Linked DNA regions of Macaca fascicularis. The protein of the gene in region 2 purifies or fractionates together with the protein of the main gene of each other region. This does not show direct contact. Links are inferred from orthologs where the notes say so. Each region holds a gene or a part of one and is shown on either strand. Other genes may lie near its edges.

Region 1 (4,023 bases), on a different chromosome or scaffold from region 2:
GAAGTAGAATAAAGACAGAGGACTAACACTACCGTACTTCAAGAATTACTGTAAAACTGCAGTAATCACAATAGTGTGGTGCTGGCAACAGAATGGACAACTAGATCCATGGAACAGAATAGAGAGCCCAGAAATATATACCTTCATAAATATAGTCAGCTGATCTTTTGCAAAGGAGCAAAGACAATACAGTGGAGAAAAGATTGTCTCCAACAAATGGGGCAGAAGCAATTAGATACCATATTGCCTCCCTTACCCCTAAACAATCTAAACACAGATCCTATGTACTTCACAAAAATTAACTCAAAATGGATTAAAGACCTAATTGTAAAACACAAAACCATAAAATTCGTAGAGTATAACATAGGAGAAAATCTAGATGATCTTGAGTTTGTTGATGACTTTTTAGATATAATACCAAAGGCATGACCCATGAAATAAAGAATTAATAAGCTGGACTTTGTTAAAATTAAAAATTTCTGTGAGAGACGTTGTCTAGAGAATGAGAAAACAAGCCACAGACTAGAGAAAATATATGCAAAAGACATACAAAGAACTCTTGAATCTCAGCAGTAAGAAAATAAACAATTAGATTAACCTGATTTTTAAAAATAAGACATAGACCTTAACAGACATCTCACCAATATACAGATGGCATATAAGCATGTGAAAAGATGTTCCACATTGTAAGTCATCAGGGAAATGTGAATTATAACAGTGAGACACTACTACACACCTGTTAGCATGGCCAAAATCCAGAACACTGACAACACCCAATGCTGGCAAGAATGTGGAGCAATAGGAACAGGAACTTTCATTCATTGCTGGTGGAAACAGAAAATGGTACAGCCACTTCAGAAGGCAGTTTGGCAGTTCTTACAAAACTAAACATACTTCTACCATATGATCCAGCAGTGTTGCTACTTAGTATTTACACAACTGAGTCAAAAACTTACATCTACACAAAAACCTGCACCCAGATGTTTATGGCAGCTTTACTGATGATTGCCCAGACTTGGAAGCAACCAGGGTGTCCTTCAGTAGGTGAATGGATAAATAAACTGTAGTATATCTAGACAATGGGATAATCTTCAGCACGAAAAAGGAATGTATATCAAGCCATGAAAAGACAGGGAGGAACCTTCAGTATGTATTACTGTGTGAAAGAAGCCAATGTAAAAAGGCTTCATACTGTATGATTCCAACTCTGTGACATTCTGGAAAAGACAAATCTATGGAGGCAGTAAAAGAAGCGAGAAGAGGAACACTCAGAGCATGAAAACAACTGTTGACAACATTTTACCTCCTTTAATCCTTTTTTCCTTTTCTAAAATACAGTCATTGTGTCACTTTATAGATAATTTTTATTCTGATTTTTAAAAAATGCTTAACTTTGTAATAAAGCATGATCTTTTCTCATTAAACACTTTTCATAGTTTACTTTGAGACTTTTATGAAATGATGGACGTTTCATTTTCCACTTTTTATTTTTGTAAATGTAGGGGTATGCATTTGTAAAAGGTCTTAATAATTAAATGTTGTCATGTTGCTTTCCAGAGAGTGAGCCAGTTCTTTTTTTATTAATTAATTTATTTTTACGAGACATAAAAATAAAATGACAAAGCAGGGTTCTGCTTTGTCACCCAGGCCGGCATACAGTGGTATGATCATAGCTCACTGAAGCCTTGCCTTCTGGGCTCAAGCAATTCTGTCACTTCAGCCTCCTGAGTAGCTGGGACTACAGGGACACACACCACCACGCCTGGCTAATTAAAAAAAAAAAAAAACGCACACACACATACACACACACATTTATGGAGATTGACTTGCTATGTTGCCCAGGCTGGTCTTGAACTTCTGGGCTCAAGCGATCCTTCTGTCTCTGCCTCCCAAAATGTTGGGATTATAGGCATGAACCACAACACCCAGCCAGTGAGCGAATTCTTTTCACAGATTTTATTTTTAAAAAGTCCCCTTTATGAGGCTGTTGATAAGTGTAATAAGATCAATAGCTAAGGGTTCAAATTAAGCAAAATAGCACATCTATCCTTGTAGTTAATCACTATTGTCTGTATTCCTACTTGTCATTTCTTACCTGTTTGATATTCAGTGTTTCTTACTTACTATAACCCAAGTGTGTTTTATTTTATAATCAGAACATAAAGTGGGACAGTAACATTCATCAAAATATAGTATAATAAATCATCGTTTGTGGCTAATCTTGTCTCAATAGATTTGGGATAAAACCAGCCTGGAATGTTTGAAAGTGTTAACGGGACACACAGGCTCTGTCCTCTGTCTGCAGTATGATGAGCGTGTCATTGTAACCGGCTCTTCAGATTCTACGGTGAGGTGAGTGATCTGGCTTCATTGGTCTTAACTTGTAAGCCTTCCCTGAGAAAGTCTGAGATTGACATCCTCCTCTGGGAGAGGCATACACACACTTACATTTTTACATGCTGTATTTCAAACTTTTATTGTAGATATGTTTGAGCAAATTAGGCAGGAAAGCTAATTTTTGTTAAGGGTGTTCTATTCCTGTTGCTGTTCATTATAGAGATGACAACATGCTTTCCTGTAAGAGCATATACCAAGTATTAGGCTGGCTTTCTTCTTTTGGGAAACTGGTCCAGAGCAGAGAGGAGACACTCACTTCCAGGAGTCACTCCCGGACTCTTTCACCACCCCTGCCTAAAGCATCACCACCCGTGCCTGAAGCATCACCACCCCTGCCTGAAGCATCACCACCCCTGCCTGAAGCATCACCACCCCTGCCTGAAGCATCACCACCCCTGCTTGAAGCACGCCTGGTATCCTCTCCTGGACTCAGTGCTTCCGTACCACTGCTTCTGCCAGAGATCATGTCTCAGCCTCAGAGGCCTGAGTCTTTTCCCCTCTGCCCTGTGTGAACTTGTCCTCTTAGGAGATGAGGGTTACAGAAAAGCCATGATGTGGAAGTGCTGCCCCCAGATCCCTGGACATACAAAGCAGTTGGGAGACCCTGGCTTTGTCCATAAAGCAGCTGAGTAAAGAAGTGGATGTGGTGATTGATGAGGCATCATGACTTACCCAGTTTGCAGTGGATAAATAATAGACTCAGAGGTCTGCCAGAGGTCAACAAGAACTGTAAGCTTGGAACCATTCTCAGTTCTTCAGCCAACAAAGCTCCTTCTTCCTTTTATCTCAGACTCAATACAAAATCTGCTTTCTTGAGGAATTGTCTTTTGCCATCAGCATGAGCCTGCAGACACCGTCCCTGAATACCTGACTGCTAAATATACCTAAACTCGAGCAGAGCCAGAATTAGCCACCTTTTCTGAAACCATCTCAGCACTTCTCAACAAATAAAGAAATTGCTTTTTAGGGGCACCTTTTAATCATGCCCTTAGGTTCATTAAGAATGGACCCTGTCTTAGTCTATTTGTGTTGCTATAAATGAATACCCGAGGCTGGGTAATTTATAAAAGAAAAGGGGTTTATTTGACTCATGGTTCTGCAGGCTCTGCAAGAAGCATGGTACCAGCATCTGCTTCTGATGAAGGCTTCGAGCTACTTCTCCTCATGGCAGAAGGCAAAGGCGAGCCAGTGTATGCAGATTACATGTGAGAGAGAAGCAAGAGAGAGGGCGGAGCTGCTAGGCTCTTGTCAACAGCCAGTTCTCTCAGAACTAAGAGTGAACTCCCTCCTATGAGAATGGCACCAAGTCATTCGTGAGGGATCCACCGCCATGACCCAGACACCTCCTGTCAGTCCCCACTTCCAACCCTGAGGATCAGTTTCAACATGAGATTTGGTAGAGTCAGACAAACCATATCCAAGCCATTGCAGACCCAGACAGAACTCAGATGCCAGAATCATTTCCTGGCTATCTCCGTAATTAAGCATCATGCTTTTTCTCTTCTCTCCTAGGGTGTGGGATGTGAACACGGGTGAAGTTCTTAACACATTGATCCACCACAATGAGGCCGTACTGCACTTACGCTTCAGCAATGGACTGATGGTGACCTGTTCCAAGGACCGCTC
Region 2 (4,651 bases):
CTTGAACCTAGGAGGCGGAGGTTGCAGAGAGCCAAGATTGCAGCACTGAACTCCATTCTGGGTGACAGAGTGAGACTCTGTCTCAAAAAAAAAAAAAAGACTGAATGTCATTTTAACAGCTACCAGGCACTTTCCATACTCATAGCTAATTTTCTCACAGGTGCACTGTTTTCCAGAGACAGAACCATTAGGCGACAGGTCCAAAACCTGCAGCTTGTGTGCGCAGCACTGTGCCCTACACTCCCCTCTGGCAGGCCTGGGAGACAGAAAGGGAAATCCCTGCTGGTCACTGAGGGATGGAGCAAAGCCCACCAGCCTGAGATGACCCAGAAAAGCAAATGCATCTGGCCAGAAAGTCCTGCCTAAAGCACACGTTTGATCCCGGACAGGCTTCCCACCTCACCCTGCAACCCCTACTGAAGATAAACAAATCCAGGACCCCCAACTCCACGCCTAATGCACAGCTGACAACTGTCTTGCAATGGACATTGCTGTGCCCAACCCTGGGCGAAGGCTCTACACCTTCAAGCCCTTGGCCTACCAAGATCCAGCTACTCTAGAGGACTGCTGGTATCCTCCAAAGGGAAGCTTGGGGCAGGGATAAATTGAAGCCAGAATCTTAGGGGGCCCTGAGAGGACTCACCCAAGGCCCAGGCATGGCAGCCAGAGGGCCCCCCAACCCTGCCCAGGATCAGGCCCAGAATGTCCTCTCCAGCAGGCACAGCAGCTCAACTGCACCACAGCAGGCTGCCCAGCCCAGCCCTGCAGCAGCCTGCAACCCCAGGACAAGGGTTCAAGTTCCAGCTCTACCACTTGCTGTAGTGGTCCCTTCTCCAGTCTCTGTGTCCTCTTTACACAGAATCAAAAGACACTTCCGACTCATAGAAAGATTATGACAATTCAATGAGAAAATTCTAGCAAAGTGAGCCCCCAGAACCTAAAAACAGCTCAACAATTTTTTTTTTTTTACTTATTATTACTGGGTCCTCCAGGTGGGCCTCGTGCAAGGGCCAGCCGGGCATCCCTGCCAGCTGCCAAACCCATCATCTGGCCCAAGTCTAGGTATTGACTGGGAACTTCAGAGTAGCCTTAAGGTGGGGACCCCTGGGGCAGCGGGTTGGGCAGGAGTTGTCTACACGTGTGCAGCAACCTTCCCTCCAGGCCGGATTCCGAGGCGCTAGTGACCACCAGCCTGTGCCACACCGGCGGGCTCCTCCTCCCTCAATCCCCGCCCAGACTGCCTCGGGCGGCAGAGCACGTGGCTCCAGCCCTGGGGAGCCATTTCGCTCCTGGAGCAGCGCGGCAGGAAAGGGGCCGCAGGTCCCAAACTTGCGCACTCCGTAGAACGCCCACCTCCCCCATACCCCGCCCGGGGGGTCGTTCAAAATGCAGATGTCCGGGCGCCAGCGATCAGAGTTCCAGGCATGTGCATTTTAAGAAGTGTGCGGGGTGGTTTAGCTGTGTGTGGTCCTTGAATCCATCACCCTTTGGGTTTCGAGCAACCTAGGACCAAAGCTTGCAAAGTGGCTTCTGGGGAGGCCTGCGGATCTCGGGCCACCCACCCCGCCTGGGGACCCGACGCTTTCGATTTACGGCAGGGGGAGGGGCGTTGGATGGGAAAGTTTGCAGAGGAAACCCACGTGCGGCGGGAAGCTGCCCTGCGAGGCTAGAGGCAGCCTCAGGTGTCCCCTCCCCAAAAGGCCTGCCCACCTGGCCTGCCTTGCCCACCGTGCCCATGGGTCCGAGCTTTGTGCAGGGAAAGCGTGGCCCAGGAGCGCCTACAAATCCCACAATGCTGCACCAGCAGGATGCGGAGAACTACAGCTCCCGCGAGGCCGCGCGCAGAGGTCCGCCTACTCCAAGAGGGCTGCAGAGTCACGTCCAGGCCTCGCTAGTAAACAGCGCCCGGGAGCGGGCGGGCGAGCGAGCGGCAGCCAACGTGCCCCGGGCCGCGGCGCCCCTACCGGCCGCGCGGGCCCCTCGGGGCCCGCCCACCCCCCACACCCACACGCGAGCACGCCCCCAACCCCGCTGCAGCCCCACTCTGCAAACACGCACAGTGCCCGGCTCCCCGCCCCCACCCCGCGCCGGGAGCCGCGGCATGGCTGCATTGTAGCCGCCCTAGCTACACCCCCACGCGCGCCCCGGCCCCCGAGACCCCCTTGGATGGGGACGACCTAAGATCGCGAGGAAGGAAGGAGAGGAAGGAAGCCGCCGCGGGAGGGGGAAAGAGGAAGCGCGGGGGGGAAGGCCACCAGCACCAAGCATGGCCGGGACTGCTGCAGAACCACGTGGGTCTGTTTGCAATTTACAAACGTTGCGACTCGCCCGCCTGCAGCGGACAAAAGTGGCCGGGGCCGCTTGGGGCCCCCATGCTCCAAGGGAGGAGGGTCCCGGGGCGGCGCGAACCCGGCGCGTGGGGCTGCAGCCGTCCCGGCAGCTAAGAAAGGCTAGCGGGGTCGGCGGCGCGGGCCATGCGTGCGCACACGCGCGCCCGCCCGGGCGGGCTAGCCGGGGGCTGCAATGGTAGGAAGGGGGTGGGGGAAGGAGGAGTACACACCTACAGAGCCCTCCTATCACTTCTTTCTCTGTTTTCCTGAAATGTTGCAAAGAGGGCACCTTCTGAGTGGGCACCATGAAATACTCCATAGCGATCGGCCCCCCTCCTCTGCACGAGCCAGGTCCCGCGATCAGCCGGAGAATGCAAGATGGAAATCCGAATCAAAGGGCAGCGCCGGACGGAGGTGCAGAATCGGCCGGTCCCAGATGCTGGCGGCGGCGGCGGCGGCGGCGGCGGCTGCGAGGGGAGGGAGGCGGGCGGGAGGGGCGGGAGGGAGGTCTCTCCGGCCTGCCTCCCCGGGCGTGTGTATGTGTGTGTGTGTGTGTGTTTGCAGCTGATCAGATGTCTGTTTCAAGGCGGGAAACAGCTGGTGAAAACTCAGCACTCCCCCGGCCTCCTTCCGCGGAGTAAGGAATTGCATGTAAACAAAGGACTATTTGCAGCGCCCCCCAGGCGGCGCGAGGCCGGGGCGAGAGGGGCGCGGGCCCCCGGGGACCGGCTGCAGCCGGGGTCTGCAGGCCTCTCGCTGGGCACAGGGGGCCGGGGGCCGCGGGCGGGCTTGGGGGGCGCGGCGTGAATGGAGCGAGCTGCGGCCGAGCTACATGCGCCACTATGGGTGATGAGGTCCATCAGCTGACAGGTTGGCAAGCGTTGAAAAAAAAAAAAAAAAGGCCAGCCACCGCGCGGGGAGGCCAGCCTGTGCAGCCCGGGGTCCAGCGGCGACTGCCCAGTGCAGGGTCCGCGCGCTCGGCCGGCCCGCGGGGAGGAGGGGGCGCGGCTGGGTCGGGCGTGCTGCGGCAGCAAGGAAGGCGGCCTGGGGTTCGCGCTTGGGGCTTCTGCTTTTTCACCATTGCAACTGCACCGAGCGGAGCCTCTCCGGTGTGCTCCCTTCGAGCCAAGCCCAGGGCCCCCTGGAAACTTGCGTCACAGCCACCGCTTCCCACATGTAACTTGGGGCTGACTTCCGAGGCCGGCCAGCCTCCTCTCTCCCTCCCTGCTGAGCTGCGCGCCGCTGGACGCACGGCAAGGACTCCGGATCCTGGGAATCCTGGACCTGGCGAGGGGACGGCAAAGGGCGCCTCGGATGCTGGGGCCGCCCTAGGAAACCCGGGCCCCCGGCGGAGAGGGGAAGGTGGAGGCGGGCCCGAACGGCAGCGGCCCCCGGGCCCAGGCTGCCGGCGCTGCCGGGAGGTCTGCTGGTTGCTGCCGGGTGTCCTGCTATTCCCCCCAGACCCCCACTGTTCCCTCCGCGGGCTGAAGGCTGCAGCTTCTCATTCATAACAAAGCCCGAGTGGGACTTGCACCTCCGCCAGGGTGCGCTCCCTACGAGGGGGTGACGACTTAGGGCAGGGACGGGGACCCTGGCGGCGAGCTTCCGTCCTCCGCTCGCACGCCCCACCTTCCGGCCCCAGGCCCTCCCTTGGCTCCTGGAGGGTTGGCTTCTGGCTCAGGAAGCCCACGCCTGCCTTGGAATGTCCTGGATCCTGCCCACAGCCTTCCAGGTTCCGCCTAAATCGCGCCTCCTAATTTGACTTATTCCTACTAGTAACAATAGTTACTGTTATTATTGGGAAATATTGTTATTAGATGTTGCCAGCACCCGGTGGATGCAGAACAGTTTTGCATACATGCTCTCCAATCCTTGAAGCAACCTGTTAGGCAGTTTCTCTAAGGAGAGATCCCAGACCACTTCACAAAAAAAGTCTCTGGAAGGCTTACTATATTTTTATTTAAAACAAACAAACAAACAAACTTTCGGCCGGGTGCGGTGGCTCACCCCTGTAATCTCAGCACTTTGGGAGGCTGAGGCAGGTGGATCACCTGAGGTCGGGAGTTCAAGACCAGCCTGACCAACACGGAGAAACCCTGTCTCTACTAAAAATACAAAATTAGCCGGGGGCGTGGTGGCGCATGCCTGTAATCCCAGCTACTTGGGAGGCTGAAGCAGGAGAATCGCTTGAACCAGGAGGTGGAGGCTGCAGTGAGCCAAGATCGTGCCATTGCACACCAGCCTGGGCAACAAGAGCGAAACTCCATCTCAAAAAAAAAAAACAACAACAACAAAAAACTTTTTACTGTTTTTCATGAATA

Evidence for each region.
Region 1: the proteins of TFAP4 (region 2) and FBXW11 purify together in Homo sapiens (affinity purification with mass spectrometry; 7 studies listed by BioGRID and IntAct, counting the BioPlex papers as one, with this or other methods). This does not show direct contact. The link is inferred for Macaca fascicularis from reciprocal best matches to the Homo sapiens genes TFAP4 and FBXW11.

The regions. Positions count from the first base shown.
Region 1 is NC_088380.1:178,667,123-178,671,145, reverse strand, and holds part of FBXW11 (F-box/WD repeat-containing protein 11), read left to right. Parts: intron 1-2,233; coding exon 2,234-2,352; intron 2,353-3,909; coding exon 3,910-4,023.
Region 2 is NC_088394.1:5,061,370-5,066,020, forward strand, and holds the start of TFAP4 (transcription factor AP-4), read right to left. Parts: upstream 2,909-4,651; 5' UTR 2,650-2,908; coding exon 2,561-2,649; intron 1-2,560.